Drosophila melanogaster: one gene and its partners. Changing the gene in region 1 together with any one later gene gives a genetic interaction. Each region holds a gene or a part of one and is shown in the gene's direction. Other genes may lie near its edges. The genes, in order: Mef2, Pp2B-14D, zfh1 and twi.

The links.
Region 2: of Mef2 (region 1) and Pp2B-14D, changing one suppresses a phenotype caused by changing the other (phenotypic suppression), as found in Drosophila melanogaster (one study listed by BioGRID).
Region 3: of Mef2 (region 1) and zfh1, changing one suppresses a phenotype caused by changing the other (phenotypic suppression), as found in Drosophila melanogaster (one study listed by BioGRID).
Region 4: of Mef2 (region 1) and twi, changing one enhances a phenotype caused by changing the other (phenotypic enhancement), as found in Drosophila melanogaster (one study listed by BioGRID).

Annotation. Positions count from the first base shown.
Region 1 is NT_033778.4:9,925,449-9,933,122, reverse strand, and holds the start of Mef2 (myocyte enhancer factor 2), read left to right. Parts: upstream 1-3,507; 5' UTR 3,508-4,223; intron 4,224-6,253; 5' UTR 6,254-6,636; intron 6,637-7,674. UniProt on the Drosophila melanogaster protein: Transcription factor that could be a key player in early mesoderm differentiation and may be required for subsequent cell fate specifications within the somatic and visceral/heart mesodermal layers.
Region 2 is NC_004354.4:16,552,381-16,563,060, reverse strand, and holds Pp2B-14D (protein phosphatase 2B at 14D), read left to right. Parts: upstream 1-3,044; 5' UTR 3,045-3,653; coding exon 3,654-5,366; 3' UTR 5,367-8,434; downstream 8,435-10,680. Other genes in the region: Arp2 (Actin-related protein 2), read left to right, coding at 9,670-9,717, 10,611-10,680. UniProt on the Drosophila melanogaster protein: Calcium-dependent, calmodulin-stimulated protein phosphatase. This subunit may have a role in the calmodulin activation of calcineurin.
Region 3 is NT_033777.3:30,763,370-30,770,837, forward strand, and holds the start of zfh1 (Zn finger homeodomain 1), read left to right. Parts: upstream 1-2,556; 5' UTR 2,557-2,914; coding exon 2,915-3,011; intron 3,012-7,468. UniProt on the Drosophila melanogaster protein: Involved in the development of the embryonic central nervous system, embryonic mesoderm and adult musculature.
Region 4 is NT_033778.4:22,981,804-22,989,297, forward strand, and holds the start of twi (twist), read left to right. Parts: upstream 1-3,570; 5' UTR 3,571-3,688; exon of another isoform or gene 3,689-3,726; coding exon of another isoform or gene 3,727-4,525; exon of another isoform or gene 4,526-4,746; intron 4,747-7,494. Other genes in the region: CG32834 (uncharacterized protein), read right to left, coding at 802-2,472; CG32833 (uncharacterized protein), read right to left, coding at 2,705-3,511. UniProt on the Drosophila melanogaster protein: Involved in the establishment and dorsoventral patterning of germ layers in the embryo.

The DNA of each region.
Region 1 (7,674 bases):
CAATTATAAACCTTTTTGCAGCTCGTCCTTGCCCCAAAAAAAGAGTTCTCGCATTAAATATGTGCCATTTTCCCAAACCAGCTCGAAAGGAAAAGTGTGAGGAGTAAAGAGATAAAAAAAAAAAACAATTTGGTAACAAGGGAAAATGGTCAACGGTGACAGTTTTGCGGACGGCAGGTCGTTCAGTTCAGGATGTGTGCTAAAACAGTTGAAAAGTTTTCTATTTGCCGTGCCATGCTAATTGCACGTCGGGATGACAGTCGAATCCAATTAGAGGCCAGTTTTCGCATTCTAAGCCAGTCCAAATGGAAGGTTAGGCATCCGTTCTTCTTCGCTGGGAACTTATCAGTCATGCAAACAGAGAAATGCTTTCACCGTCGTATCTCGTATCCGAATCCGAATCCCTCGATCCTTCGCCCCGCAATGACACACGTGTTAAGGTGGAATTATTTGGGCTGACATCCAGAATCTGTAGCTAAAAGAGGCATCGCCTCTGCGTGGGCGTTTAGCATTGGGGAAAATTGATTAGATTAGGCAAAATTCGACGTTGTCGAAAAGGAGGAGCGGTAAGAGGAACAGTAGCGTACTTAAGCTGGCATTTAATCACATTTAAATTGCACTCAATGCCCGGGGAAATTGATTGAGATTTTTATGAATTAGGGAGCAAGTCGGAGACCTAAGCCCGTTTAAGTCGAGCAATTGAAATGTAATTAGGCAATGCTAATGGCGACACCTACCCCTCTCTTTTGGCAGAAAGTCGACCAGCTCCCCGGAGACTTTTCCGAGTCGAAATCACTTGAGCTGAACTGAACTTCAATTGCTTTTTTTTTCGGGGCCCAGCATTTGCATAATTGATACCACCGCAGACATTTTTCAATTTCGAAATCTCGACGAGCAATTAAAAAGATGTTTTTCCTGTAATTCCGTATGCTTACAACCCTCCGGATACACTTGGAGCTGTTCTACTGCTGGGTATCTGCAAGATGGGCATGGCACGAAGGGCAATTTGAATGAGATTTATGAAATTACCTACGCAGCGTTTACAAAAACATCATCGGCGGAGGGCAGTGGCGTGGAGATGAGTTTCACGTGGTTTGGCTTGTCTTGGCTTGGGGTACTCAAAGATCCCCCTGAAGAAACCCCTGCCAAGCAGTTAAAGTCGGACTCAACGCACATTGAGGCCGATGCTGCTGCTGCTGCTACTGCCGCAGATGCCGCATGTTGCACATGTGTTGAGTGCATGCAACATGCAGCATCAACCGTACGGCGCACAGCATCGGGGTACATGGTCATGCGCAAATCGCCGGGCGGCGTTTATTGAATTAAGACTGTCGACGACTGTTTGCAGTTGGCAGTTGTCGCACCCAGTGGAAGCGTTAAAAGTCACAAGGACACTGCAAACGGGAATCAGAATGGAAATGGAAATGGAAATGGGAATGGTAATGGGAGTGGAAGTGAGAAAGGGATCTTCGGATATACACACATGGATCGTTTGCTGCTGGGTTCGGTTCTCAAAATGCAACATTGTGGCGCCGCCGAGAGGCGAGGGCCATAAAACGGGTAACTTGGTCGCGCTGCACTTGGTATCGGTTATGCGTGATTTTTACAGAATCCATTCACTCGACGGGGCGGAGCAATATCTGCGGCATCTGGCATTCGCATATTACTCGGAAAGTCACGTTAAAGTTGCGTCCACTTAACTGCAACTGCAATATGGGCATTCCTTAAGATTTCACCTCCCTTAATGTCCTTTTGTCTGTGTTTTAACTATCACTCCAGTTATTAAATCGCAACTTACAGTAAACAAGAAAATCTTTTAATATATTTTCTTATTGATTTAAATGCCATATGGTAATGGCTAATCACTAAAATTCTCGCTATTGGAAATATTTTTATTATGTATAAATAGACGCAAAATCATTTCCTATATGGGTTAGAACTATAGATGGCTGGAAAGTAGCCACAGCTTTTATTTGCCTCCCAGATGTGGACTAATCACATACAACGTTCCCAATTTTCCTGCTTTTATAAAAGTCGATTTTTGTAATAAACTCTATTGGGATCAAGTTGGGGTACATGTATCCCTACTTTATTATCTTTTCGCCTACATAACCTGCATAATAGAGCGTGTTTAAGGTAAATAATATCTCGCTTAACGCAACAATAGACAGGGTCTGGGTCACAGGGCTTTGGATCCCACTTGGCTGGCTGGCGGTCCGATTCACAAATTAAGCCCCAACTTCAGCCATACAACTACTTTACCTCTGTCTGAATAGGCAATCATCAATCGAGCAGAAACAATGAATCGTTGGTTGCCGCACACCCTAGGATCCTACGGGTCCTACTCTTTGTCCCTTCCGATTCCTTCCTGTTTGTTTTGTGTACCCGCCAGCAGACGAATTACAGGATATGTTGTATGTTGTATCGCACAAAATTAGGTAACAAATGAAAAAAGGATTTACGCTTTATTTTTTCTGAATCAAGTTCAACATTCTAGTTTACGTTCACATCGGAGCTAAGAAGCTAAACAGCTGTCACAATTCCAAAGTTAATATAACCTATTAAAAATGAAATTAATTTTAATGATAGTTATATCATACTTCGCGTTTCTAAAAGGCGTAACCACAGCCAGTAAGTATGCCCCATCTTTTGTAACAGGGTATCGAGTATATACTTACCTTTTTTTCTACTGCCAAACGCAGGTCAACAAAGTTTTTATTAAGCTGCGTCGAAGGGGAAAACTAATGGTGGGTGGGTGTTTATAGAGAGGATCCAGTGGCAAGGACAAATAAATAAAATACACACAAAAAAAAAACCAGATAGTGGGCAAAGCGGGAGGGGAGAGGTCCTGGCAGGGCAGGGAGATACGGATACAAAGGAAAACGGAAACCAAAGCGATGTTTAGCAGGGGTGTAGTTAATGGGGGTGGTGAAGTGGGGGATAATTAACATTTATGGGAGGTTGCCAGAGCGGGACAACAAGCTCGGCGAGGGAACTAACTGTAACTGTTGCTGATTGATCAAGTGTGTGGGTGAGTGTGCGTGTGTGTGTGTCTGGCTGGGGCACAAACAAAAACCATATGTTTCTCGTTCGACTCCCGCACGCACTCACTCACAAACCGAATTACTCACTCACCCCCACCAGCCCCACACTCTAACCCCCCGCCACCTCTCGCTCACTCTTGCTTTCGTTGTGAGTAGGAACTCAAAGTCAGCGGCTGCGCACTCTCTCCGTCTCTCCCGCTCTCCGATTGCCCGGCAATGTATGTGTGCGATATTCTGTTACACAAAAAGGCAAAAACAAAAGGCACCGTTAGAAGGTGTGCGCGTGTGAGTGAGTTCACCACGAAACGAAAATCCTCACCGCCAGCCTACGTATACGTGTTCGTTGCTGGCTGTGCGTGTGTGTGTTAGTGTGCGACTGCGAGAGAGCCTGGCGCAGTGCAGCTGTGTGCGGGCGTATCTGTGTGTGCGTACTTGGCGTTACGACGTCAACGACGGCATATCCGTCAGTACGTTTGTACGCGTCCGCAGCGCCGCTTCTTCAGTTTTTCGGTTTTCGGGATTTCGAGATTTTGAGATTTCGATTCGATTCGATTTCGGCAGATCAGTTTGCGATCCGTTTGCGAGTTCGATATTTTCATTCCGAGCCAACGATCCAACGATCCGATTCCGCTAGCGATTCACAACAGATAGAGATCCTATATCGAACGCCGCGAGAAATTATGCTGGCCCGCTGCTCTCGCACTACGCGCAATAATTTATTTTTACTCCATATAAACAAATTCAACGTCTATTTCCAAAAATAAATGGCAACAATAATAAAAATAACAACAGCCGTCGGACAATTATAAGTTTTTATTTTTAACTTTTATTTGCGCCAACCGCGGCCGCGACATCCCCGCCCCCGCCTGCCCGGACTTTGTTTATATTTACAAAAAGCTAAAGCACACGACAAACACAACAGCAAACATATCACTGACTGCATTTCGCCCCGATGTTTATCGAACGAGCGGCGTAAACAAAGCCAGAATTCAAACAATAATTCAATTTGCATCTCAATTGCAAAGATTTTCGTGTGTGTGCTCGGAAACATTTGTGCAAACACCTCGCCAGCGACCTGACATCCCCAGAAAAGTTCAAAACTCGTCGGTTTCTATTGAGTAGTGTATTTTTGAGAACATTTTTTCGAGAAAACGGAAGCTCAGCTAAAAAGCGATTCATGTAAGTTTATCTACTGCAATGAGGAATGTTTTTGGTTTGAAAACTAGTTTTTAAAACCAAAGTACCTTTGCGAAATGGGTAGAAAGATTTTCATTCTTGTATTAAGAATAATTTTTCCTGTTTGTGATAACCATTTGACTTATATTTATGAGCGTCATAAAATCCAATTGAATGCCTCATTACATTATAAGTGATTTTCGGTTAGTCATACTTTTGAGACACATTGTTAAATTAATTATAAATTATGAATTATAAAACCTAATTTTGGTTATCATATCCACCTTTGCTCATTGAGCTATTATTCCGCCCAAAGGCTTAGTAATTATTTACAGATCATCGATGGGCTGTAAACCCCTCCTTTCATATGCCGATAGGGCAATTTGATTATATATAATTTACAATTACAAAAACACTGGCAGCCGGCATGTCGGGAACCAAATAAGCAAGTTACCCATGCACACTGACGTCATCGCTGAGCCAAACGTTGGGATTCCGAAGAAAAAAAAAAGAGATATCGGCCGGGTTTTCGAATTGTGCCTCGCTGTCTTGATTCCAGTTCAAACAGTTCCCTTTCAATTGATATCATTCGATGTTTCAATTTCTTTTCTTGCGATTTAATGCTGAGAGTAGCTGCCATACACTCGGACGGGCGAACACGCACACACAAATACTATATACGTTCCACTGATAAGCGATTTTCGTATCAATATTGAGGGCCCGCGAGAACCGTACTCCTCCGGCGAAGTTCAAATCCATTTCCCTGCTATCAAGTTCTTTTGCATGTAGTTTTTATGGCCGACCGACCGACCAACCGACTAACTGACTGATTGACTGGCTGGCTGGCTGGCTGGCTGATTGGCGAATTTGCTGATAATTGTCTGCACTTTGTTTCAGCCAGCAGCAAATGCACAGAGAATTATATTTTCTCTTATCTCGCCTCAGGCAGCTGGACATGCGTGCAATGCACTTTGACACCTACGCAGGATCATAAGGGGGGTCGCGTGGGAAGGGAGTAGGGGAATTTCGTTTCGATCCAGGGAGCAGTGGGTTCAAATAACAAACAAAGCCATTCGAAGGCGATAATCACCGCAGATTTGCCGTGGACTTAGCCACGGCGATCGCCGATAAACGATTACGGTCATTCGGCATTGCAGAGCCTAGATAACGGGACCCCACCTCCGATCACGTTCACGTTCGGACCATCATCACGACCATCATTAACCTCCGAGATCTTTAACACTATTTGGTGTAGTCACGTTTGGGTCGCGTTTGTATTTTAAGTGTTCCATCAATAGAGAAATTATAATATTATTTATTTATTTTCTTTTTTGTATTTTAAGTGTTCCATCAATAGAGAAATTATAATATTATTTATTTATTTTCTTTATTATTTCATTATTATTTATCTCATTCTATAACAATTTAGTTATTTCCAATACCTAAAGCTTCATAAGTTAAGCGAAAAAATAAATGTTTTAACTGTTTTTTTTTTTTGGATGCCTTTCAATTAGTTTTGAAATTCAAAAATGACACACGATTCTGAAAAACTGCAAGTAAAATAAAGAATACAATCCATGAAGGAAAACCCACAAACGACATCTTATCAGGTCAAAATAATTTGTTGGCAAATTTTCAACGAAAAATAGTTGAGTTACGTTTGTTGTTGGCGTTTTCGGTGCTTGATAAAAAATTCGAAATCAAAATTTGTTTTATTTGCTCGTGTTTTTTTTTTTTTGCGGCCACTATCTGCCATCGAGAGCGAGAGTCTTTCTTATCACACGTGCGCATGTGAAGGTGCCCACGCTCACTGACAAGCCAAATGAAGCACAATCTGGTCGATGTGTTGGTGTAGTTATTAAAAAAATAAATGTTCCTTTGCCATTTGCCGTGTTTGCGGCTCTCGAGTGTCTGTGATAATTATGGTTATTGCCGCCGCGCTCCCCCACATATATTGTATATAAAAATAAAAATAATAATAATTATTATTATTATAACGATTTCTTTCTGTTTGCGCCTGTGTTTTGGTTTAGCTCCCTCCCCCACACTCCGCCCGCTTTTGCGGCTGTGTAGGTGCTGGCGATAAGATAGAAGTGCTCTAGGTGTACTTCTAGGTGACTCGGGGCCCGAGAACTCAAATTTGTTCGACTACCTTAACATGAGACGCGTGTTTCGGGGCGAAAAACAAAAACCTTGGATTCTTTTGCTTTTGCTGGCATTTCTGCAATCGAAATTGTTGATAAACGCGGTGCAGGAAGAGAGCCAGATATCGCGGAGCCAATGCGATTGCTTGCAAAAATATTGGAAATCGAAGTTTGCCGATATTTCACTTGCTTCAAACAGGCACATTTTATCTCAAAAGCATTTATCATTTGCCTTTAGCATTTACCACGAGCGTCGTATTCACAAAGTGTGTGTAAGTTGTGGATAATATTTTATAATATATAAATAATATACTAAAAATAGATGTAAATGTTAATAAGATATGAGGTAGTTTGAATTGAAATGTAGATTTTATGACAAGTTCATTTTAGTTTCTCAACTCGTCAGTTTTTAAAATCTATTCTTCAAACGCAATCCTATCCTCATCTCTTCGTCCCCAATTGGTATTGATGGCTATCCCCAGCATCTTTGCTCGTAATTTACAGTTCTAAACTCAACTTCCGACCGCCCCCGAAGACTACAAAAAAAAGTTCCGCCTCATTGGCAGTACGCAATGAGTCGTTTTCATCGCGTCTTAAAACGCGCGCGCGTGTCTTTAATTAAGTCAAGATTTATAACCGGGGTCCCAGGAATGCGTTAACTGCGGCACATTAACAACAATAACAAAAGTCGGGGACATTGACGGATCTGATCTGGTTGATGAAAAGTGAAAGTGAGCTGCGACCAAGGAAGTCAAGACAGGCCGAAAAGAGCAGAGCTAGTGAATTAAGAAAAATTAACAAATATATATCTAGAACACTCACTGGTCAGGCCAACGTGCGTATAAACCCACGGAATGGTTATTATTTGAAATTGAGGTGATAAATTCGGAGTTTTTTAAACTTGAAATTTGGCCGGTCAGCAGCCATAAAAACGGAATTTATGAAAGGTCTCTCGTTCGCGATCTCTGTCGCTCTAATTGAGGCTGAAAGCTCCAGACGGTGAGAGATTGCATTCAGATCGGCTCATCTCATTGCGATCGCAACTGGTTTTTGAATCGGTACGGGGTTCATTCCTCCAAAATACGGAAAAGTTTAACATTTGCATAAATTTGGCCGCAACAAATGCTAATTGAGCGCAATCAAGGCGAGCAACAAGTTTTCGCCTTTTAATGCCTGCTCATCGGAGAAAAAGCCGCAGAGCGTGATTCACTAAATCAAATCGATAATGTCCCCGCCTTTGTTGGTCCAAACAATTAGGGAAAGCGCAAAAGTTGCTAAGCAGAAGGCTTCCCACCCAGTCCGGTCCAACA
Region 2 (10,680 bases), on another chromosome or scaffold:
ATATATCCATATACAATATAAACCGATCTAATGTTAAGCGTTTCACACACAGACACAACAATTTACAAGACGTTTATGCATTTCGATTCAATGAAAAATCAAGAATACGAATAATACAAATATTATAAACAATAATTACAATAATGGATTACAGCAAGCAAGCTCTTACTATTATTTTTAAAGTAAATGAGAACTTTTTAACAAATTACCGCAACCCGTATACATATGTATAGCATATAACTGAATACTTTTCTCTCCTCCAACGTTCCCACAATAAAAAAAAAAGGAAAAAAGCAAAATTACAAATTAGCGCGCTCTTCTAACATAAAAAAAGCAAATGCAAAAACCAAAGTAAATTTAATTAATATACACATATATGAGAAGAAACCAAAAACCAAAATATATAACATATTACGAGTAAGCAAATAATATATAAAAATACTTTTATACTATATACACGAAGCCTAAGAACTAAACAAAAGCGAAACAAAATTATATTAACGACTACCCCTCTCGCTCTAACCTCTCCATTCTCCTGTTGTCCTGCTCTTCTTTTCTCTCTCTCTCTCTCTCTCTCTCTCTCTATCTCTCTCCGTCTCTCTCGCACTGTGAAACTCCCGACTCGACTTCGACCTTGACCCTTTATCTTTTCTCTCTCTCTATCTCTATGTCTTTCTCTCTGTCGTTTCGGTGACCTCAGAAGAGGACCCAGCAAAAATGCGAAAACCATACCAAAAGCAAAGGAAAATAACACTTTTTATCGGTACATTTTCTACTACACCATATATGAATAGGAAATACAAGAGAAGAAGAGGAAGCGAATATAAAGTTAAAACCAAATTACCAACTACAGCAAACCACAATTTCAATATAAAAACGAATGGGTCCTATTTCGAACTTGACTTTCGGCACCGTTTTTGTAAAATCCCTTGAGTTTTGAAACCATTTCGAAAGCTGCCTCTTAGTATGATATGAAAAACAAAACAATTTTGATTTGAAAAGTCTTTCATAGCACGCGTCTAGGCAGTTTTTTAAGTGGTTTCAAAACCCAGAGAATGATATTTAAAGATAGCCAAGACGTGATAAAAAAATACCCATAAAAACTATACTCAAATTTCAGCCGAAAGTTAAAATTAGAATGGCCGATTACAATCAATTCCACACTCAGTTCGATATCGAATAAATCGCATATTGAACATAAATGTTTTTAGAGTTTTTTTTTTTAAATTTCCGTTAGACTGTTAGTTTATCGATTAGCTTGAACTACTATGTACAATCAAATATTTAAGTCGCTTTAAGTAAGCCATTTTGTTAACCAATTGTTTTTTTTTTTTATAATCGTATATACACTTATTAAATTTAACGAGAATAAAGAGAAAATGGGAAGATTTCTTGTTTTTCGTTTCCACTCATCTCATCCATTGCAATGCGAATGAAAACCTTTTCATCATATGTATGTATGTATGTAATTATATACGTTACCTTAATTTTTTTGATACATGTATTTTTCAACATCTACTTCCTGCCCTCGAATGCTTTAAAAACTTTACACGAAAAAGAAAACAATTTAATATATATTATAAACAAAAAAGAAATGGACAAAGAAAAGCAAAAACAAAAAAAAAACAAGAAAAACCAAGTGAAGAAAAAACCAAAAAACAATTAAAACTTTACCTTTTGGATAAATCAATTTAAATGCATATTTTATATATATTTAAACATTTATTTATATATAACATGTATGATAAATATAAGTTGGAAAAACTTTGTCAAAGCAAAAAGTTTATATACTTATATTAAAGAAAAACAAAAAACAAATGGATGGAAGATGGGAAAGGAAAACCAAAAACCAAATAAATAATATTAAAAATGCAACATAACAAATTAACAAACAAGAAAACATCACATCTAGATAAATCTCTTAAAAATTTTCAATTTTATTATTAAACCGAAACCAAAGTTAATGGATAAACAAATTTATAAACTGTATTGCAAGGGGCAGCTGGCTGGCAAAAATTACATAAAATTTGCGCCGTTGTGACAAAAATTGTACGCAATCCAAGGAAGATAACAAATTAATTTACAAGATAAAGATGATGATAATGGAGATGTAGACGATGGAGAATAAATGAAGGCAACAACAAAATGCAGACAACAAGTTTTAACCTTAAGTGAATGCAAAACAAAATGAAGAAACCCAATGAAAACAAAATGATTATCAATGTTATTAACATAATTAATATTAACAAAAACGAAAAAAAAAGAACAAGCAAAAAAAAAAAACAAAAACAACCAAAAAAGAAATACAAAAACATTAAAAAAAATATACAAGTACCTATCCTGAGAATAAAATGCGCGCACATTTATTATTTCCTCTAAAAGTTCGTTTGAGTCGATTTCGCCACCGGGGAATTTCAGAATAAGCATATACATATTTAATCCCGGGAAGCATATCCACCAGTAGAAGGCTGGAGAAGTGGTGGACTGAGTGAGTAATGTCCAGAATTTGCTCGAAAATTAAGGAAGAGGTAAGTGTAAGTGGGGCGAAACCGACAGGTGGCCAAGAATTTCAATAATGAGGTTTTTACCTATATTGATAAATTCAGCATCTGGGCTCTCATATTCTCTAATTTTAATTCATTTTATAATGTTTAGTTAACTACGTTTAAAGAATAATTAAGATGAACGGCTTAATTGATAGCTTAAGCTTTTTTAAAATAAAATGTTTTCCAGTTGACATTTTGAATATGTACCAAGTCCAATTGGATATAATTATCAAAGTTTAGCACCTTGTGGTACATTGCTGTGCGGAATTTGTTCAGATTTTAATTTTGCGCCACCATCTACATCTTTAAAGTGAATATATTGTTAGAAAGGAGATAAAAGTAAGCGTATTCATTTAGAATATTAAATATACAGAGAAAGATATAATTTTGCACGTACCTTACTCGACTACTTCCATGACTTCCATTCCAGGTGCGAGTCTCGACTAGAGTACACATTCCAGCGGCCGTGTAGTAAGTTTGAGCTTTTGAGCCACGGCCACACTGCAGAAAATTCCATTAAAAAAAGCGAGAAAAAAAACGTAGCGAAAGAGAGAAATTACGACGTCTGCAGGGCCGAAGCGAAAAAAGTAGCAAATACTGAAACAGAGTGACTATGATTGTTGTTAAGTGAAAGCAGCACTTTTGGAAAACGGCTAGGCCAGCGGCGCAGGCCACGGAAGAAAGCAGCGGAGTCAGCGTTCCAAAATCAAAGCAAAGCCAGCGGAAAGTAAAGGAAAGCGAATCAAAGCTGGAAGGCGATAAAGCGGCTCACCAGGCACTCCAACAACAACAGCAACAATAGCAACAACAGTAGGAGCAGCAGCAACAACCACACAGCAGCAGCAGCAGCAGCCAGGGAAAGTACCAGAGTGTGAGTGAGTGAGTGAGCGAGTGTGCGTGTGCGTGTGTGTGGGTAGTGGAAACAGAACTGAGCCGTGAGAGAGCGAGAGCGGGAGAGCGAGAGCGGGAGAGCGAGCTAGTGGAAGTGGGAGCGGGAGAGGAGCAGTCCGATTCCGAATCCCGGAATAGAAACCAGGAAAAAGGAAACGGGAAGCAGTAGCCGTAGAAGCAGAGCCAAAAACCGAAACAGAAACAGAAGTCTCAACCATGTCTTCGAATAACCAGAGCAGCAGCGTTGCCCAGGCGGCAACAAGTGCCCGCACCGTCAGTGCCGGATCGGCGGAAGCCACAGATGCCAATAGTACCGCCTCGAACAACAACAATAATAGCAGCAGTACCGCTGCAGCGGGCAACAACAGCGACAACAGCAGTCCCACCACTGGAACGGGCACAGGAGCGAGCACTGGAAAGCTGCACGGCGGCCACACGGCAGTAAACACCAAGGAACGGGTGGTGGACAGCGTTCCCTTCCCGCCCAGCCACAAGCTGACCTTGGCGGAGGTGTTCGACCAACGCACCGGCAAGCCCAACCATGAGCTGCTCAAGCAGCACTTCATTCTTGAGGGCAGAATCGAGGAGGCGCCCGCCCTGAAAATCATCCAGGACGGAGCCGCCCTGCTGCGTCAGGAGAAGACGATGATCGATATTGAGGCGCCGGTGACGGTGTGCGGTGATATCCACGGCCAGTTCTACGACCTGATGAAGCTGTTCGAAGTGGGCGGCTCGCCCGCGAGCACCAAGTATCTGTTCCTGGGCGACTACGTCGATCGGGGCTACTTCAGCATCGAGTGCGTCCTGTATTTGTGGTCGCTAAAGATCACCTATCCGCAGACGCTGTTCCTGCTGCGCGGCAACCACGAGTGCCGGCACTTAACCGAGTACTTCACCTTCAAGCAGGAGTGCAAGATCAAGTACTCGGAGCGCGTGTACGACGCCTGCATGGACGCATTCGACTGCCTGCCGCTGGCGGCGCTAATGAACCAGCAGTTCCTCTGCGTGCACGGCGGTCTGTCGCCGGAGATACACGAGCTGGAGGACATCCGGCGGCTCGACCGCTTCAAGGAGCCGCCCGCCTTTGGCCCCATGTGCGACCTGCTGTGGTCCGATCCCCTGGAGGACTTTGGCAACGAGAAGAACTCGGACTTCTACACGCACAACTCCGTGCGCGGATGCTCGTACTTCTACAGCTACGCCGCCTGCTGCGACTTCCTGCAGAACAACAACCTGCTGTCGATCATCCGGGCGCACGAGGCGCAGGACGCCGGCTACCGCATGTACCGCAAAAGCCAGACCACCGGCTTCCCCTCGCTGATCACCATCTTCTCGGCGCCCAACTATCTCGACGTGTACAACAACAAGGCGGCGGTGCTGAAGTACGAGAACAACGTGATGAACATCCGGCAATTCAACTGCTCGCCGCACCCGTACTGGCTGCCCAACTTCATGGACGTGTTCACCTGGTCGCTACCCTTCGTGGGCGAGAAGGTCACCGAGATGTTGGTGAACGTGCTGAACATCTGCTCCGACGACGAGCTCATGACCGAGGAGAGCGAGGAGCCGCTCTCCGACGACGAGGCGGCGCTGCGCAAGGAGGTGATACGCAACAAGATCCGTGCCATTGGCAAGATGGCGCGCGTCTTCTCCGTGCTGCGCGAGGAGTCCGAGTCGGTGCTGCAGCTGAAGGGCCTGACGCCCACGGGCGCCCTGCCCCTCGGCGCCCTCTCCGGCGGCAAGCAGTCGCTCAAGAACGCCATGCAGGGCTTCTCGCCCAACCACAAGATTACCTCGTTCGCGGAGGCCAAGGGCCTGGATGCCGTCAACGAACGGATGCCGCCGCGGCGGGATCAGCCGCCCACGCCCAGCGAGGATCCGAATCAGCACAGTCAGCAGGGCGGCAAAAATGGGGCTGGACATGGGTAAGCTGTGCCATCTAGTGCGGCTGCAGGACGAGGATGCAGATGCAGATGCGGCACGGTGGAGTCTGGCGAGGTCTGAATTGGTCTGAAGGAGGGGCTGAGTGGAGCGGAGCGGAGGCAACACAAAGAACACCAACCGAACGGAACCTTAATTAAACTTAATGTGGCAGAGCAACAACTTAAATACTAAAACCAATTCTAATTCTAAGTAATTGTCATAACCCCCTGCATTTCGTATGTGATCCCGCACCAGCTCCATGCCCATGTCTATGTCCATGGCCCAGAGCCTCCAAACCGACGGCACGGAGCAGAGATTTGTTTTTACGCAGGCGCGCGCACATTGGATATTAAAATTATGTGTGGCATACTTTGGCGCGCCGGCCCCCAAAACGGAAAATTCCCTTTCGCGATAGAAGAAAACCAACCCATAACGTAACCCATAACCTAGCTTAAGTTGTAATGTATAAACTATAAACTGAAATGGGCAAATTTTAAAATGGAAAATGAACAAAACGGAAAGAGCTAATTGAAATCCCTCCCCCTGCGATAATGCGATAATTTAAGATGAAAAACCCCAGCAGAATCCCCATAATCCCCAGAGGCAAGAAACACTAATCCAATTGAAGAGATATGGGAAACAAAATCCAGCGCTAATCTGTTCCAAACATTTAGCAGCGGCAAAAAAGAAGCGTACATATATGTATACATATGATTATTTAGAAATATCGAGGCGCAGTGCCGAGATGCAACCGAAAGTGTAATGAAATTTGAAATGAGCAAAGGTCATTTTTTGTAATAATCGTAATCCTTGAACTCTAGAAATGTAATCTTGCATAGAAGAAACGAATGAAACAAGCAAACAAATTCGAAACCATTTGCAATATGTGCCGCAATAGTCCATAAATGTTCCTTATACGAATTAAACATTGAAAGTGAAATCAGAGTTTATTTTTTTTTTTTTAAATATATACTTAAATATATGTATATGTATTATTGTTGCATAATCTAACTTTTGACTTAATATGTTACATTTTACGTGTACGACTGTGTGTGTATAACTAACTATTTGCGTTTTATCAGTAGCTTGGCGAACAAAAAACAAAAAACAAAAAAAAACCAACCAAATGGCAAAAGCAAAAGCAAAGAAAAAGCAGCAAAAATCCATAAGAGATCACACAAGATGATAATCGTTGTTTGAGGATCACAGTCTAGCTAATTAATAAATTGATGAATAGGATCGATCGATTTCCATTGATGTGAATGCATTTTGAACACTGAAAGAACGGATCGTTTACCATTTAAATAGCAAATCAAATATTTAACTATTAAATTACTGTGTAAACCTAATAACGTATAATATATTTCTGCGTGTAAATTGAACTAAACGATTAATTAATTAACTAATTTAGCGAATCGATTTTTGTTGAGAGAGAAAGAGCGCTAGCACACACACACACACAAACACAAAACTTATTTTCCTTGACTTAGTATGAGCTAATTGCAATGAGATTAAGCGAATGAGATGTATTTAAGTAAGTATAAGGCATGGCACACACATGAGAAACGGATGAGTTTCGGCGTTTCAGATCAATTCAATGATAATGATGGCAATCAAGTTCTCAATTTGCGCCTACACCTCTTCCCAAAAACCGATGATATCAGCTTCTCCTTTATCACTAATCACAACCACTATCAATGCGAAATCAAAAGCTATAAGATATACCACATACATACTCACGCAAGAAATGCCTTCATCGAGATCATATTATCCACGAACCAAGAATATTAACGCTGTACTTTTGCTTCGACTCTTCAACCACCAATAATTGCATTGAACTCTAATCTAAATATTTATACAGATATATATATATATTATATACCGAGTTGGCATTGGAAAACAGTTAGTTTTAGTGATCTATGCACGTATCGTAACAATACCAAGATTAATTAAATCGTAGCTAAAAGAAACAAATCAAGGATGAGGCGGCAGTCGCAGAGTTTCCCTCTTAGCTTTTATAAAAAAAAAAAAGATGGAGAAATGGAAACAACTTACTCAACTAATTGAGAGATACACCATATTTATATAGATATATATATAGCGTTTTTTTTTTTTGTTAATCCTCCACCACAACTATATAATTATTGAAAGTTGATGAAAGCTGTTGGGCCGTTTAAGTTTCAGAGTTTCTGTTCTATATGTGGTTAAAATTGTTAATGTTGTTACACCGCAAATGCATACTTAGTTAGTTAGTCGAGTGAAATGGGAGTTCCCCCAAATCACATTTAATTGCAATAGTCTCGAGTATTGAACGCCAAGAACACCAATTCCATAGAATGATTGTATACACTCAGAAAATCAATCGGCATTTATGTTCGAAAATCGCCGCAAATATTTTCAACAAGTATGGGTTTTTACGGATTTAAAATAATGAAATTGAAAACTAAATTCCATATTGTTAGGCTATAAACAAATGTTTCTATTGATGGACAACATTTCAGGTATAATTTTTGAAAAACAACAAATATTTATTTCAATTGTTAATACCAAAATACGCATAGGTCAACAATTAAGTTTTAATTTTTTTTTTTTAATATAGTTTAATTATCAAAGAACTATACATTTTAAGCCATTAAACGTAGGCAATATTCAGATAATTTTCTGAAATAAATTAATTGTAAATTTTGGATTCTCTTAGGGCGATTTGCATTCCGAGTGTATCAAGAGCCATGGTAAATAATAAAGCTAAGAAGTATTAATAATTCTACACTATGTATGACTAACAATACATTTGCTTAGTTCCCTCGATAAAGAAAGTACATAACTATTGCATGAGGCATAGGCAAAACTTCCTGGCACATAGTAAAAGTAAATAATTGAATAGAACGGCTGAGGAGGAGATGAGTAGATTTTGATAATATGTACGTCAAGACCATGCCAACATACTTATGGGAACTATTTAAAAAGCATTAAAACGTTCAATATAACACATAATACCCAGACAAAAGCAGAATCAAAAAATGCGGGAACGAGACGGCTGCATGGTATATACATACATATATAAGACATTTCGCCTCTTAAAGCAATTATAAAGATAACAAATGAGTAACGTTTATTATATTATTAAATTATACATACATATACATACTATATAAACGGAATAAAATAAATCAGCAACAAACTTTCCATTTTATGGCGTTCGATCACTTAACTTTTTATCCTTGGGAGCAGTATTGTCAAGTTATCATTTTTCTTCTTAATTGCTTAAATTACAATTCTTTAAATACATGCATGTATTCAATGATGGCGCCAAATTTTGAACCTGTTTTAAGTCTTAATTCAAGAATATTTTTCCAAGTATGAGAGTGAACGAGAGGCAAGAGCGCAAACGAAAAATACCAGAAATCAATGTGAGTATTTTGAAATTTCAGCAATTGCCGAATTGGTTTTTCAAATAGATGTGATTAGTTGTTAAATTGCCAAATCTTTAATCCAATAATTTAATTAATAAAGTCTTAATTGAATTGAAATTGTTTTGTGTAAATCCTGTGCAAGTAACATATATTACTAATAAACTTGTATTTTTTAATCTTTTTTAAATTGTTAAAAGTGGCACACAGACTAGTAAACTTAATTAACAAATTTGTAAAATAATAAAAAAATATAATTGGATCTAGTATCTAAACGGTTCTGGTATTTATTTTCGGTGTTTTGTACGCTTCAGTCCAACGCCGATAGTATCGAATATGCATCTATTTTTATTCAACTCTGGGGAGTAACGAGGGAGTTTTTGTACAGCAGTATAACTAAATTATAAGTATAAATAGTCGATAGCGGCAAACTGTTTCGGCCTAAATTTAATTGCGAGTCTAAATTAAGAGTTCAATTCCCAATAACCGCCAAACGAAGCGGCGATAAACGTAAGCGATAGAGTGGCGAAGAGAGCAAGGTTCCCGCCCGCGTGTTGTGAGAGTGTGCGAGTGGAAGAGGAAAGTGTATGATTAAGTACAATCGCTCTCCGGCGGTCCAAATACAAAAAAAGCCGAAAAGGAATCAATTAACAGTAGTGCTCAACAAACGGCCCAGGAAGTCAACAGGAAAGGCGATTGATGTGCAATATTTTGTTTGGTTTTATCGAGCAGAGGCGCTGCGAGCTGTGATTTCAAACCGAATCACAACCAACACCCAAAAAGGCAACCTGGTCGCGTCATCAGTGGAAGTGGAAAGGCAGTTGCCACAGCAGAGGCAGAAGCAACGGGAGTAGCAGAAGCAGTGGTTTTCCAGAGATCCGGTTTTGAGTCCTTCAAGCATGGACAGCAAGGGTCGAAATGTTATCGTCTGTGATAACGGCACTGGGGTAAGATAACGGGAAAGTCACCACCCGCACCGCCCACATCACCCACAAGCGGTGAAAACAGAGCGCACACACCCACACCATCACCAACGACTGGTGTGTGACACACATTTCGAGTGTTGTTGGCTGCGCTTCTTTCGTTTTCTTCTTCTTGTGGACTAAGCAGCGCTTCTGCTGCTGCTGCTTATTTCACTGCTTGCTGGCCAGCGGGCGTTGACGTCGCGGTTAGTCAAGCAGTTGCAGCAGTTGCAATTACGCGATTGCCTCTTCCTCTCCTTTATATTCCGCTTCCCCACTCTTCTTCTTGCTCTCCGCTTGACTAATCAGTGGATTACTCACGATTCCAGCGTTACTCAGTATCTCCCACACCTACATATTTGTCGAAAGAGCGACACTGGCACACACCAACACTTCCATAAAATTTCCGACAATCAGTTCTTATCGCAGGCCCAGAATTTTTGTATTGTGATAACGGTCCGATTTCGATAAGCGTCCGATAAACCACAACAGTAAAAGCGCAAGCAAATGCTGCACCGAGAAAAATGATTTAGCTGGTCCTAAACCAAATAATCAAAACTAATTCAAAAATTTTTGTTTTGTGATAACGGTCCGAATTCGATAAGTCACAGCAGTAAAAACGCAAGGAAATGCTGCACCGGGAAAAATGATATAGCTGGTCTTAAACAAAATGATTAAAAATAATTATTTATTATTATTATGTGCAATTTTTAAGTACCTGTTGATACAAAAGCATTTTAAATTATCATATTACGTGTTAGGGCTTAACTCAAATAATAATATATGTACATATGTCGGCTGTCATATTATTTTAATGTGTTTCCACATACACCATAATATAAATATATGTATTTATGACATCTCCATTTATTTTTCAGTTCGTTAAGTGCGGATATGCCGGCAGCAATTTCCCCACCCACATTTTTCCCTCGATGGTGGGACGACCCA
Region 3 (7,468 bases), on another chromosome or scaffold:
CGCGCAAAGTTTACTGCTAATTAAAAATTGTGGAAAAACGAGAAACATGCATGCAATTCAATCCCAAGGAGTGTGGGAATGCGATGACCCATCTGGAGATCTGAGATTTACAGCAAACACCCCGAAAAGGATTGCCTTTTCCCAGAGTCCTTTGCTTCATCTTCTCGTCGATCCGACGATTGTAAAGTGAAATTAATTGATTCCTCCGTCGATGACGTCAATGCGGAACCATCGAAAGTACTTAGCTAACTCTATTTTATGTGGGTACCAGCAGCGGTGGGTGAGAATTTCCAAAGTCGTGGAAGCCCAAGCTAGTAGCAATCGGAAAATGATCGACAAATCCAATTTAAATAAAGAACCTACAGTGGGTGTTGCCTTCGAGAGCCTGGGAAGAAAATCCTTGAGTGCGAATGCGGGACGTGGTAATTGAAGGTACTCGCCATTGAACTCGGATGCATTTCGATTCGGATGTGTGTCAATTAAGTGGTTAATGAGGGCAACTCCTGGGGGAACAGGAACAGGAAGTGCTGGGAAACAGCAATCGTCCTGATCCTGATTAAAAATATATACTTATGAAGGCGGATTAAGATCTACAAAACTCGGGGAGGTACGAGCTCATTGCAAGAGATGAATTATTTTCAAGTCCAGACATAAATATCTATTCTGATTCATTCTCGCATATATCTTATTGAGTCATTTTCCCACTTCATCAGCCTCCAATTTTCCCTGGGGCTTTTCCGCCAATCGAACGAGCGCAACAGGTGCAACCGATGGACGACCAATGTGCGCACCTTGCTCGCTTCTCATTAAACACCCACGCCACCTCACACAGATACTCAACACACGCGCACGCGAGTGAACGGCAACTAATTAACATACAAAATGAATGCGAGGCAACAAAAAAAAAGCGGCCTCTCCGGCGGCTATCTCTCTCTCCCTCTCTCTCGCTTGCACCGCCGGCGCTCTCTTTCCCGCTCATGGCAGTACGTTTCAAGTGAGAAAATTATGAAGCTCCACCTATTTTACACTTACACACACGTAGCGACCGCGTTTGTGAGTGTATGGGTGTGTGAGGGAGAAGGGGGAACACATGTTAACCGCATTAAAAATTAATGTACAAATTGTTTATTATGTTGTCGAGTCCGCCTTTTGTTTTTGCTTTTTATCAAAGAGAGCATGTTTCGCTTTTTTTTTCGATAACACAATTTCTGTTACCATAAATATCTTTTTATCCATTTATACTTTTAGTTTTCAAATCTATATGTTTCTTTGAGCAGCAAAATATAAAGTACAAAAAAAGCAACATCCCAAGGGGCCGCCAAAACTTGTTGATGGAGCCAAAGAATCAAGCCACTCGCATTCTGCTCTCTTCGTTAGAATTCTTCGGTTGTCCGGGATCTCTTGGATCTCTGTTCTTCTGTCATTTTGTAGACGTGTCCATTGATGGACATTCTCAAGAACTCGCCCATCAGCAAACGATGTCATTAATGTGTGGCAATCGCGGAACGATTTCGGTATTTCTTACTCGGAAATCGCAGCAGAGGAAATTTTGCAATCGCAAGTGCAAATGATTTTGTCCGTTAACGCAGCGATGTGGCCAGGAAAGGGTTAAGGGATTCCCTGGAAAAAAGAAATCCCCTTTATCTCGCACCGCCAAATTTACCCGAAAGAAAAACGATCGAAAGCTTTCTTGAGTGGGGAATTAATCATAGCGATATGCATACATATGTGTGTAATTCCCACACGGGGAATATTTTGTCATAAACTTGATTTACCGGAAAGACTTAAAAAATTATAATACAAGTATATAATTAAACTATCTTATTGCTGTTCAATTCTGGGAATTTCAGATAATTCCTATTTATTGTTGAGTATTAAACTGTTTATTAAAAATATTTCCTAATTATAACAATTAAATATGTAAATCACTTAAGCTCTACACTTTAATATTGATACCCAGCAGCACAGAGTATTAATAAAATAACACCGAAATAAATTTGACGGTTGGCGGAAAAGTTAATGGAAAGACTCATAAGTCGCTTTATCAATAAAAACGAAATTTTGTGCAAATGTTAATATAGTCAAATCCCGCATAACGGCCATATGTTTACGAGCAGCACGATGAACAAAAGAGGCCACCCTTACGTAGTGCTTACGTCACGGGATAACCGAGAGGAGCGGCACTAACAGCGCTTAACATTTACGATATGCGATAACAGAGAGCTGTTATGTTAAGAATGAAGCGCTCTCGCTTCTCTGGCACCACCACCAACACACCACCCATCAGAGCATTAGAGCACCAACCACACTACCCCCGCCCGAATCACCTCGTACATCGGAACGGTGAACCGTTACACCGTTATATTATGCTGGTGGTGGCACGGAGCACACACACAAACAGCGCCGCCCTCTCTCACTCGCTCTCCGTGGAAACGTAGAACCCCGCCGTATCGCCCTCGCCCGAAACTCACAGTTCGCATCCGACGGATTCGGTAGAGGACGTCGGTCTCTGTTTCGTTCTCGGATTTGGCTTGATGCTTCGAAACTTAGAACTCTGAATTCAGTTGCATCGTAGACGTCGCGACGGCAGCACACGCGTCGCTCACCCACAGAGAAAACTCTGAGCAGCACACAGTAGAATCACGCAGATATAGAACGCAGATCAGTGAAATCGCCCACAAAATAAAAACAAACGCGACACTCGCAGCGGCGCATCGCGAAGAAAAATCCCAGTGTTTCCCATGTTCGAAAGATAAAAAACCCAAGGCCCTTGCCCAAATGGCCGCCACAACACGTGTGTGCTCTATAAGAAAGAAATAACGCCGAGCCCAGAAGAACCCACTAGCCAACTAGCCAACTAGCCAAACAAACTATCCGCATCAAAGTAGAGCAAGTGTTGCAACAAGCATTCCAAATGTTGTCCTGTCTGGCGCCGTCGTCTTCACGTTTCGGCCAAGAGGATACCATCATTCAGCAGAGCATGCCCTCCACCTCCCCCTTCGCCATGCAGTGTAAGTGATCAGAACGCGGATCTGGAGCACAGATCTCGGGTGATTCATCCGCAAACCGCCTCCATTATCACCAATCAGCCGTGCCATAGAACTTTGTGTTCAAGTGATTCGCGCGCCAAGACTCGGTAGCTTCGATTTGAAGATCCCCACATGCAAGCTTAGCAGTTTCCCAGAAACCATCCGCCATCTTGGGTATATGTGTGGTCTCCACCTTCAGGGGATCATAAGAATGAGTAGCTATAGAAAAACAAACTCATAAACGGCGAGTAAGGATCGAGGCAGGTCTCGAATTACCATTACCTACTCCTACGCAGAGAACGGGCTCCGGTTCTCAAAAAGGAGAGAGCGAGCCCGAAACCGAAAAAGTTTGCCCGATCAGCACACTGAGAGAAAACTGGGTCACTTTGTGCAACTTCTATACGCTTTGAGAACTTAAAGAACTTATTGTTGTTCAACTATAATCATTCGCTGGTTTTCAGCTACGAAAGTCCTTTTCCATGAGCTAAAACTACAATATAGTTAAAATTAGTACGGTTTAACATGGCAGATCATTCGATTTCTTATATCTATTGGTCATATCACGCTCTTCACACATGAAAGTCGGCCAGTCGATCTTGAATAATGGCATTATTCCCTGCATTGCATAGCATAGCCACCTCTCTGTTCCTCCCAGTGGCCGACCAATTGCAGCCACATCTCAATTTGATTTGTTGGCACCGCCGAAACAGCACCGCCGCCTTGCCAGTAATCTCCACCCACCGAGAACCAGGTAGAGCTACCCCTGACCAGGAAAACCGCATGCGCAGGCTGAAACAGCAGACGACAGGTAGCTAACTTGGCCAACACCATTACCGCGATGCCGCACCTCCATTTAAGAACCTGTTTTATGGCCATATTGCTGGTCGCTTGCCACTCTGTTTATCGAGTGTAAACAAAGCATAAAACTGTCAGTGGGCAGAGCTCATCGGTTGAAATGGAAGGTGTGAGAAAGAGCCGAAATTAATTGAAAACGCTTAGTTGGGGAGCATTGGGGATGGCGCAATGCTGGGGAAACGCCCACGATTCGTTCGGTGCTCCACTCCTCCGACTCTGACAATTGATAAGCCAGCTAAAGAGACGGATTAATTGCACATGTTCGGTGGAAACGGTTGAAACGGTGGCAACACCGCTGCCATAAATTATAATTTATGGCTATTTAAGCAGCTCCGTTCTCTGTGGGCGGAACTAAAAGCCCTCGAACACGATAGTTTGGCTAATCGATCAGAGATGGCTGCGCACAGGTTGGCCCACATATCTTCGATCCATATACTTTCCGCTTGTTTTCCGTCTCTTCCCTGGGCAAACCGAGCTGCTTGATGGCGCTGGGCAGCTGCGACTGCGATGGATATTAATCGCCGGCTACATACGAAATGCTGTTCGCTGGGCTTTTGGAAAAGCCGGGGGAAAACGCCAGCCAGCCAGCCAGCTAGTCAGCCAGCCAGCTAGTCAAGTTGTACTAATTTTCCGGCTGCTCGGCGTGTGTTGTGTCGCATTTCGAAACGGCTCCAAAATGCCGTAAATCAAAGATTTCGCCCTGGCGAAAACCTGTCGCCTGTTATCACCTTCGACTACGCCCCTTAGCTAAATATACTCTAAATATACTCTATGTATAAATCAGCGCCAATTTCCATTCCCATTTTCGCCCATCGAAGCCCTGAGCAGAAATTAAACATTTATCTGACATTTGCATCTTCGATTGGGAATACCTACCTAGTGTGTGTGTTCCACCAGCAACAAGATTGCCTCCTGTCTAATTAATCATTTTGGCTGCTGTCAGTGGATGTCAGTTTTATATGCTGGTGCTGTCGGTGCTGCCATTTATAACTCCTGGCCGGCTCATCCTGCATCTTTCACCGGGCACAGGACTCTGCCCCGTCAGCTGGTAATCGAAATTAAACAAACTTGGCCCCACAAACTATCTGGCAACTGGCATGCAAAGATGATTAATTTTGCCGATGCCTATCTCAAGTGGAGTTGGAGACTTCGGCCCGACTTTGCCCAAAATAAACAGACTGTGTCTTTAAATTGCAATTGAGCCAGGCTACAGAGCAAAAAAAAAAAAGGAAGCTCCCCATTTGCAACCAGCACAAAAGGACAATAAATCAATGAGGGGAAAGTCCTCTTTGATATCCTGCTGCAGATTCCCTTTATTCCGTGTTCAACCTGCCGCAGCTTTGGGCAAATTATTTGCCACATTTTACTTTTATTTCGCATTTTGGCCAAAAAGTAAATTGTTTGCCAATATTTTTTGCTGCTCGCTTTTTGCCGCCGTCGTGCACACAATTGAAACAAAGATAACTTTGAAACAGTTGTAAAGTGAAAATTGCACGGAATGCAGCCCGCCTCCTTGCGAATATATTTTTTCTTATTTATTTAATGCCCGCCGCTCTCCACGAGACAACAATTGCTACCCGTGCTATCCCCCGAAAAAAAAGTGCCAAAAAATCGGCGCAAACAAAAGGGTGCCCCCTGCCACCCAACCCTTGCAACACCCCCTTAAAAAAGGTGTTGCCAAAGGGCAGGCAAAATTGCAGCGCCAAAGAGGAGGCTCTAAAAAAAAAGGAGTGAGCAGGCACAATTTAACATGTAAACGATTTTGGTTAACGGGTGCTGGCATTGAGAAAAACCGGAGTGGAAAACCCAGGGAAAGCCATGAAATTGGCGAGTGGAGAGGGTTCAGAAGGGCACTTCCCTTCTGATTGGCGTTCAATTGCAATAAATTTCGCACAATTGCACAATAATTGTTAAAAGTTTTAAATAAACAAAAATAGTCAACAGCTCTATTGTGGTAGCGCCAACTGAAAAAGTTTCAATTGCACTCGATGGGCTTTATTTCGGAGTTGTTTTTTTTTCGAGCGCGTACAATTTATACACGAGTCGAGAGGACCAAGTGAATATCAATTAGCCAAGTTAAGCCCAACTTTGGTTGTACTTGCTGAATTAATGAAGTACGTTTCAACTGGCTGAAGCTTCGGTTTTTGGTATTCAGTTTGGTATTTATATATATGTAAATTAATATGCCAATTTTTAAATAACTCATAACTATTGCTATTCTGACAAATGTAATCGTTAAAGTATTTCAGAGATCTCTTTAAAATGGCGAATTTAGTTTGTGCGTTATTAAGATTTTTCGAATATTATTCAAACTAATTAAAGTAACTATTTCGCTCCCTTTGAGGAACAAGATGCCAAAGTATCTCATGGATGGCCGGGCATATTTCCTTCACGATTTCCCCTGCTTTGAACACCTCTGCGGCATATTTCTCTAATTGCTTTCGGCTCGCCAACGCATTGCAACTCCAATTTCAGAGCGTAGAACGCCCACACCACGACATCACACGCGTTTCTGCATATTTTTTCAAGGTAAATCGCAGAAATAGTTCGCCCCGGGACACATATGTTTCCCTACCCTCCAGATAGACCTACTATATATGTACATATGTACAATATGTACATTTGTGCAGATGCAGGGAAAAAAGGACAGGGACACGAACGCGGACACGGCTCGCTTGGCTATTAAAATTTCACACTCAGCAAAGCAAAATGCTACAAATAAAATAAACGTGGCAGCAGCAACTAGCAACTAGCAACGTGCAACGTGCAACATGCAGCAGGCAGCAAGCAGCAAGCAGCAAGCAGCACGCAGCATCAGCTTGCTGAACAAACAAATAAAGCAGAAAGGGCAGAAAGGAGAACTCTATTTATAGGCGATCGTCTGGCTCCGAATCTGCACCTTTGCATTTGCCACTTGAAGGGGCACAACGTGGCCACCTTTGTGCCCATTCGAAAGTGGAGAGTAGACCAGGGCAAAGGTGCGACACTGAAAGAAACCGTCACTTTAAAGTCCGTTTTTTTTTTTTGGAAGGAGTGGAGTGCAGGGCAGAAACCCCTTCATATATATTTTGTATCTTTCGCTGGCAATTGTTCTCAGTGCACGGATCTCTAGGTAGGCAAGCCCTCGAAAGGGCATTCCAAATTTAGAGCGATTATCGGGACAACTCCACATGCCGCTCACATGTGTGGCTGTGCCCAAAGCCGATTGCCACTTGAGATCGGACTTGGACCCTCCTGGAATTCCAATACGATTCGATTCGATTCGGTTCGAGACGGGTTCGTTCTCCACTCGATTGCGGCCATAAATATTCGCACGTCTGAAACTCGACGAGGCAAACAACTGAGCCGTAAACCTTCCCACAGGTTTTCATTTACAAATTAATTGCGACTGTCTGATAGTGTCGTTTTTCGCATTTCCCCCTTATTTTTTTATTATTTTTTTTTTTTTTGTGTTTTGTTTTTCCACTGGCAATTAGCTAGCTCTGTACTAAGTGTTTTTGCACTCGCTCTCATTTGCAGGCAATTTATATCATAAATATGCTAACCACGTTCATTGACTGCAAATGAGCGCAGGCCCGGAGGTC
Region 4 (7,494 bases), about 13 Mb from region 1:
TGAGGCAGGAGCATCAGCACTGCCATCTGGAGCAGCTGCCCACTCCTGCAGATATTTGTCTAAGCAGAGTGAACTTTTCAATTTGCACTAAAAGTATTTTCCTTTCCCTCCGAGTTCCAAGCCAACCTGGCCCAAGTAAGCCCCATGTCCCCAGATCTTGATTTTGCCAGCCCGAACGTGGCGAGCTAAACCTGAACGCGGTTGCACTTGCCACAAATGGATGCAGCCAGCTGCCAGGCGGCTTTATAAATGGTGTCAGCCTGAGGGGACTCTTCATCACGAGGTGCCACCACAGAAAGTCTGCAACTTTTTCTCCCTCGATTTGTCGCTGACTTTTTGCTGGCCGACCAAAAAATAAACTTTAATTAACTTAAGCACGAGAAGTTCTGGAAATTTTATCGAGCTCATTTGGTTCTAATCCTATCCGAAGCAACTCAAGGTTATTTACTTCTGTATTTTTTGACCATCTCCAACTGCCAACTGTATAGTTCCTGGAAAATGTAATCCTAATTTTTTGTTAAAGGGTATTTCGGTTTTGTCATACCGCGCTTAGGTACTTCCATTCTGCTTCTGTTTGACTTGACCAGCATGAATAATGCAAATGTCCAAGGGCTGTTTTAGGTGACATTTCCATAGACACTGGCTTAGACACTCGGAGTCCAGTCCAAGGATTGTGGTTTCGGTGACAGAAAGAACCGAAAACGCACGAGGGCAAAACAAGCTAAGCTCGACATGAAAGCTGATGTCACAGTTTCTTTTATTAAGGAGTGTTAATTATATTATTATAATAGACCTTCTTTATTATCCCTCGGTATCAGGACTTTCAGTAGATATTGGTTCAGTTGCCGTCATGATCGTAGTTATTATGCTAGGCGAAGGACTCAACGTAGTAAAGGGAGTACTAGGTATTGCACTGGCTAAAGTACTTGGGGCATTACCAGGTACTGTACTAGATGCCGCACTACTGGGTTCAGTACTCGCTATAGTACTCGTCACAGTACTGGGTTCAGTAGTAGGTACAGTACTGGCTTCAGTACTCGCTATAGTACTCGTCACAGTATTGGGTACAGTGCTGGGTTCAGTACTCGCTATAGTACTCGTCACAGTACTGGGTACAGTAGTAGGTACAGTACTGGCTTCAGTACTCGGTTCAGTACTCTTTATAGTGCTCGTCACAGTACTAGGTACAGTACTTGGTATGGTAACCTGTTCAGTACTAGGTAAAGAACTCGGCTCAGCACTTTGCACAGTACTAGGCACCGTACTGGCTACAGTACTTGGTACAGTAATTTCTTCAATCCTAGGTAAGGTACTAGATACAGTACTAGATAAGGTAGTAGATACAGTACTGGCTAAGGTACTAGGTAAGGTACTAGATACTGTACTAGGTAAAGTACTAGATGTAGTACTAGATAAGGTACTAGGTAAGGTACTAGAGACTGCACTAGGTAAGGTACTAGAGACTGTACTAGGTAAGGTACTAGAGACTGCACTAGGTAAGGTACTAGAGACTGTACTAGGTAAGGTACTAGATATGGTACTGGGTACGGTACTGGTGGAAGGTTCAGTACTAGGTACTGCAACAGGTTCTGTGCTAGGTTCAGAACTAGGTACAGTGCTCGGTACAGTAGCAGTTGTAGTGCTAGCCACAGTGGTACTACTATCACTAGAAGTACTTGTCGAAGCGGTTGTATCCTCATCTTCGGTGTTCTCGGCAATCCAACCTGTGAACCAAGGTACATTGGCGTAGACATCTGGTTTGGTGGTGCAGCCGCCTTCGGATAGAATGCCCACGAGTTGTCCATCTATCACCAAGGGAGCTCCCGTATCGTAGGAGCATCCTCCGGCGCCATTATGAGTGCAGAGGGTAAGGTACGAGATGCCATTGTCCCAGAGTCCGAACCAAACACCGCGATCCGCGGCGCACTGCTCCCGATTGTAGACGCTGACCCATGCCATCTGCAGATAGTCCGGCAGACTGCCGAAGCACCTGTCCCACCAGCTGCCCCACCAACTGGTGGATCCCCAGCCGGAGACAGTGCACCACGAACCATCGTCCGGTTCATCCTCTGCTATGCTGATGGGCTGAATAGCTTCGGAGGTCTTGAGCGGATCGCACAACTTCAACAGTGCCAGATTGTTATCGAAACGCCAGCAATTGTACTGCGGGTGATTAATTATTTCACAGACTTCGAGCAGGAATCCAGTTCCATCATAATCGCGGGAACTGGTGCCCACGCGTACTTCAATTGAACCGTAGGACTGGACACACGAAGCTGCTGTGATGATGGTGTCTGATGTGATGATCGCCCCACTGCATATTGCTGTGCCATCTATTATTACTTCCGCCTGGTACGGGGCATCTTCAATATCCACATCATAACCTCCAATGATGCGGCTTTGGGCATCCAGATCACCACGAACCGGCCGTAAAAGAGCAGCCAACAGAAATAAGAACACACTCCAAATCATTATAAACAACTGATTTTTAGAGCTGCATGTGCGACTCTTTTTATAGGAAAAGTTAAGTCGTTTTCAAGGCTAGAGCTCCTTATCTGCAAAGTCATACCTCAAATTGAGTGATGGCTTTACTTCGAAGCTCTATCAAAATAGGAAGTATTGCGTATTACTTGCACTAATCTGCACATAGTCATAGCTCGAAGGCAAAGTATTTTTTAACAATTAATTGGGAGAACGCTTAAGTTTACTTTGTATGATTATGCAGCCAGTCCTTGTACTTTATAAGATTGATATAGACTTCTGGATACTCCGAACAGCCGCCTTTCGTTATAATGCCGACCAGTTTGCCATTGTGGACCACAGGTGATCCCATCGCTAAAGAGCAGGCTTCCTTAGCGAACTTCTCGGTGCAGAACAAGTCATCTGTAAAATTCTTTTTGGACCAATTGTTTCGCGCCCACAGATCTGTGCACTGGCTAGGGCCAAGTAGCTTCACCTCGGCCTTCTGCAGCTTGTAGGCTTCATCATCCAGACACTTCTTCCAATACATTGCCCACCACCTGAAGGAGGGCCACCCGTTGGCCGTGACCTTTGCCCCATTAGACGGAAGCTGGTTGGCCAACTGAATTGGCTGGATCGTTTTGGAGGCCTCGAGCGGTTCGCACAACTTTAATATGGCCACATTGTGAAATACTGTCTGGCCGGTGAACTTTTCGTGAACTGTAATGTTGCAGACTGCTACTTCGATGACTCCATCGCTGCGCGTAGTGCTACCCACTCGTACACGGATCACCTTGTTCAGGAATCCATCCACACATTTCCCGGCTGTCACAATGTGACTCAGTTTGTATATCGCTCCGTCGCACTTGGCCTTTTGTTTGATCGAAATGGAAGCAATCCATGGCGCTGTGGTTATGTTCACGGGATGACCACCAAGAGTCGTCCGGTTGCAGTCGTTTTCGTCGTCCTCTTCCGAATCTTCACCTGCACCCGTGTCACTTTTGGAAAGGACAAAGAGTGCAAGGAAAATTGGTAGAGATCGCAGAAGCATGATGCCAAATAAATGTGCATATAGCAGGCTGTTTAAATTTTATAGTATTGGCACAAAGCATAGCAAATTAATTTGTTTTACTTTACGGTGTGTTAAAATTTTTCTCACTTTAAGCCATTGTGCAATGTTCTTTATTCTGTGCTTTACAAATTCAAATATAGATCTACAGAAGGCAAGGTAATATTATCATTAAACTATTCACAGCAAGTAAGATATTAATCCTTCGTATTCGAGTCCAGCCAGTTCGTGTGCCCCAGGATATTTGCATAGACATCGGGCTTAATGGAGCAGCCCGCTCTGGAGAGGATGCCCACGAGCTTGTTGTCGATGACCAGAGGCGAACCCCTGTCTGTGGAGCAGGCTCCCTTGCCCGGCGACTTGGTGCAGATGGTCAGGTCTGAGATTCCCTTGAGTAAGTAAAATGGTATGACTTTCCAGTCGGCGGCGCACTGTTTTTGGCTAAGGATCCGCACTTGAGTGCCGTGCAATTGGACAGGCAGCTGGAAGCACTTCTCTTCTATTCCGCTGCTAATCCTCTAAGTCTAAGATAAGGTCAAGGAAATTGCCTGATCTGCCACCACAGCCAGTCACATTGGCTCGAGAATTATCATCCGGCACTTTGTCGGCCCTCTCAATTGGCTTTATTTCATCGGTGGTGTTGAGTAGCTCGCAGGTTTTCAAGAGAGCCAAGTTATTGTCAAAGCGCCAGCTGGAGTACTGGCTATGAACTTTGACCTTACAGATTCCAGCAATTGATCCACTAGTGCCGCAGCTGCTGGTTCCCAACCTGACTTGTATGCTCCTGGCGCTGTAGCCATCCACACACTTGGCGGCAGTCAGGATGTAGTTCTTCGAGATAATGGCACCACCGCACTTGAGCTTCGAATTGACTATGATGGAGGCATACCACGGTGCATCCTTAATGTTGACAGTGTTTCCGTTTATGATCCGCTGATCTCCGAGAGCCAACCAAGGCAGAGCCACAATCTGCAGGAGGATTAGTGGGGCTAACATTCTCTTTAACTGACTTTCGTGAAGGGCGTGCTCCTCTTTTTATGGGATTCTTTGTTAATTAAACGGAATAGCTTTGGAATACTCTTCTTATCTACCTTTCGAAGAATCTATTTTGTAATGTAAGAAGAATATGTATTACAATGTATTACAATCCATATTGGCATTTGAAACATTTTGAATGATAAATACGCCCTGTGCGCAATCGATTGAATATAAAACCGAACTATTATACGTTCAATTGCCAATTGGGGTAATCCACATATATGCCCAAATTATAAAGTATAATTTAAGCAGCCGCATCGATTCTTTTCGCTTAGAGCGGCTTTGTACCCGTCCTCCGATTTGAGACAAAACTCACCAGCCATTACACTAAGCCGCTTAAATATTTGAATAATTCCTGCAGAGTAAAAAAAACGTGGGTGACTGAAATATAGCTGGACATTTCCATCAAGCGATATTTGCATGTATTTATGCAATTTTACATGAATGCAGATTTAAATCTGGGCAATGTTTAGCAAAATGTCGAAATAAATACTTTCATGGAGGAAAGTGGCAGGAGAGAGCTGGCGAGGGGCAAGGGGCATGGGGCATGGGGCAAGTAAACAAACATTTTGATGATTCGCCATGTCAAGTGGGTCGGTTTCGCAGCCAGGCAGGCGGATTAAAATGGATTACAACTGAATTATTTGATAATGTCCCAGCAGATGCAACACATCGCATTGCTTTCGCCCCGAATCGCATTTAATTTTTATCAATGTGAAAATCATTTTTGGTTGCTGGGTTTTTTATTACCATTTTATTGGGTTTTTTCGGCGGGCTGAATCGTGTTTTCAATTTGCCCCTGGATCTACGTTTTCTTTTGTCAAATATTGTTTGGGTGTGCTTTTTTTAGCTCTATTTAATTGATTTTATTTACGCAAAATCAGGAAAGCTTGCTCGCTTTATACGAGGCTTTAATTAATTTAGTTAATGGGATATATTCGCGTACTATTCATGATCTTTTGTTAAACTGTTATGCTTGAAAAAAAAGGATTAATTATGTTAAAAGCAAGTGCCTTTCTCACCATTTTATAATATTCAACAGATTTGCTAAGCAAGGCCACTTTTCAAATGACCTCAATTGGTTTTTTTTGCTGGCCTAATGAATATTTCAGTTTTGGCAACATCGCTAACGCCATAGACGTCCATCGATGGCCATTTCCAGCTCGATCCAGCTGCTCCTCCATCTCAATCAGCCTTTGGCTCATACATAACCCAGTAAATCCTTTTCCAGCTCGATGGCATCGTTGCCAATTTTCACACCAGCGACAATTACTCAAACCGTTGGCAACAACAAAAACATGGGTTACCACTGTCCTCGTCCTCGCTCCCTTTTCCCTGACCCGCTTTTCCCGGACTTTTCCCGCCCGCCCCCGCAGTCACAGCTCGCCACTCGGAATCGAGGGAGCCGGCAAAACAATCGTTGACAAAAATATTTGCATGCACTCTGGGTGCACTTGTCCGAATCGCCGTGCTGGGGATGCAGCTGCTCCTCAGCGCTGCTGTGCCGCGTGTGTTGCCATCGGCGGCGGCGCATTAAATATGCAACACCTATGACAGCAAGCCGCTTGACATTTGGATCCGAAGGCACGGGACTGGAGACCCATTCCAGTTTTAAGCTGGAACTAAAGTTTTGCCGACAATTTGCAGCTAAATTTGTCAAAAAACCAGAAACTTGGCCGGCTGAGAAATTATGACTTCCGCAATTGTTGGGTGGAACAAAGGGAATCCAGCGCAGTGCCAAAGTGTGACCGACCCGAAACAGTTCAAAAGGCAACTGTTGCTCTTGAACCTTTGGAAAATCCACCGCTTCAAATGCCGTTACACCCCCCGCCCCCCACACACGGCAAAGTTTTCAAATAGAAAATGTTTAATTTCCCCAAAGACAACGTCGATGCTGCTGCTGCTTTCCCGAAAACGCAGCGTTTTCCCACCCAGGCCAAGGAAACTTTCTTACATATTTTACAATAGATCTTCGTGTGTGTGAGTAAGAGTGTGTATGGGTGTGTGTGTGTGGGTGGGTGCAACAGTGCAGCCGAAAAAGTTTCTCCTTTCCCGGGCGGAAAGTTAGCTAAGACAAACGCCCCGAAAATACCCACATCGCTCAGTTGCCAGCGCCCATCGCTGAGCTTCCGGGTCGAACTTGTTAGTTTGCCATATAGCGTCGAAAATTATATTATTTTAAACTTTTCAAATGTCACCAGAGAGTCAGAAATTTCACCGAAAGTCGGTGACAAACTCCTGTTGTTGCGACTCTCCTTCATTGTGTTCGTTAATTAAACATGTTGTCCCCACGACGCGCACAATAAATCGAACTCAGTGCGGGCAAAAAAAAAAGGGAAAATTGAAAATTAACTGCATTATCTGATCGAACGGGGTAATTAAATGTGGCAATCATTTCGGGTCGATCAAACGCCTAGTAATGCCATCGATGGCATTACAAGTTCCAAAAAACATGCAGTTATACATTTTATAAATGTCAGCCATGTCCGCTCCCCAAAGCCATTTGATTTAATAAATATCTTTAAAACTCTATTGTTTGCCAAAAAATCATTTTATAGACATTGTTCAATTTGAATTTGATTTTTGTCATGATATATATACCGCTCTATTGCACTATTGTTTACTGGCAACTTTATTTTATTTCATATAGTTTTGTGTAGTATTCGATTTGTTCTGCTTTCTTCTGGAGTTCCACATTTTCTGACTTCTTTTGAAGTCGTTATCAATTTGTGTACTGCACCAGTCATACTTGCAATCTCGGATTCAATTCAGAGTTGTTCTTATTCCCATTTCTCCCATGGAGCGCATTACAATCTAAAACTGTCGCAAAATGTTACAATGCGATCAAAGCAAAACTTCAGCAGTGCTGGCAAACATAAAAAAAAAAGGAACGAAAAGCTCCACAATAGAAGCTGCCTCGCAGTTAT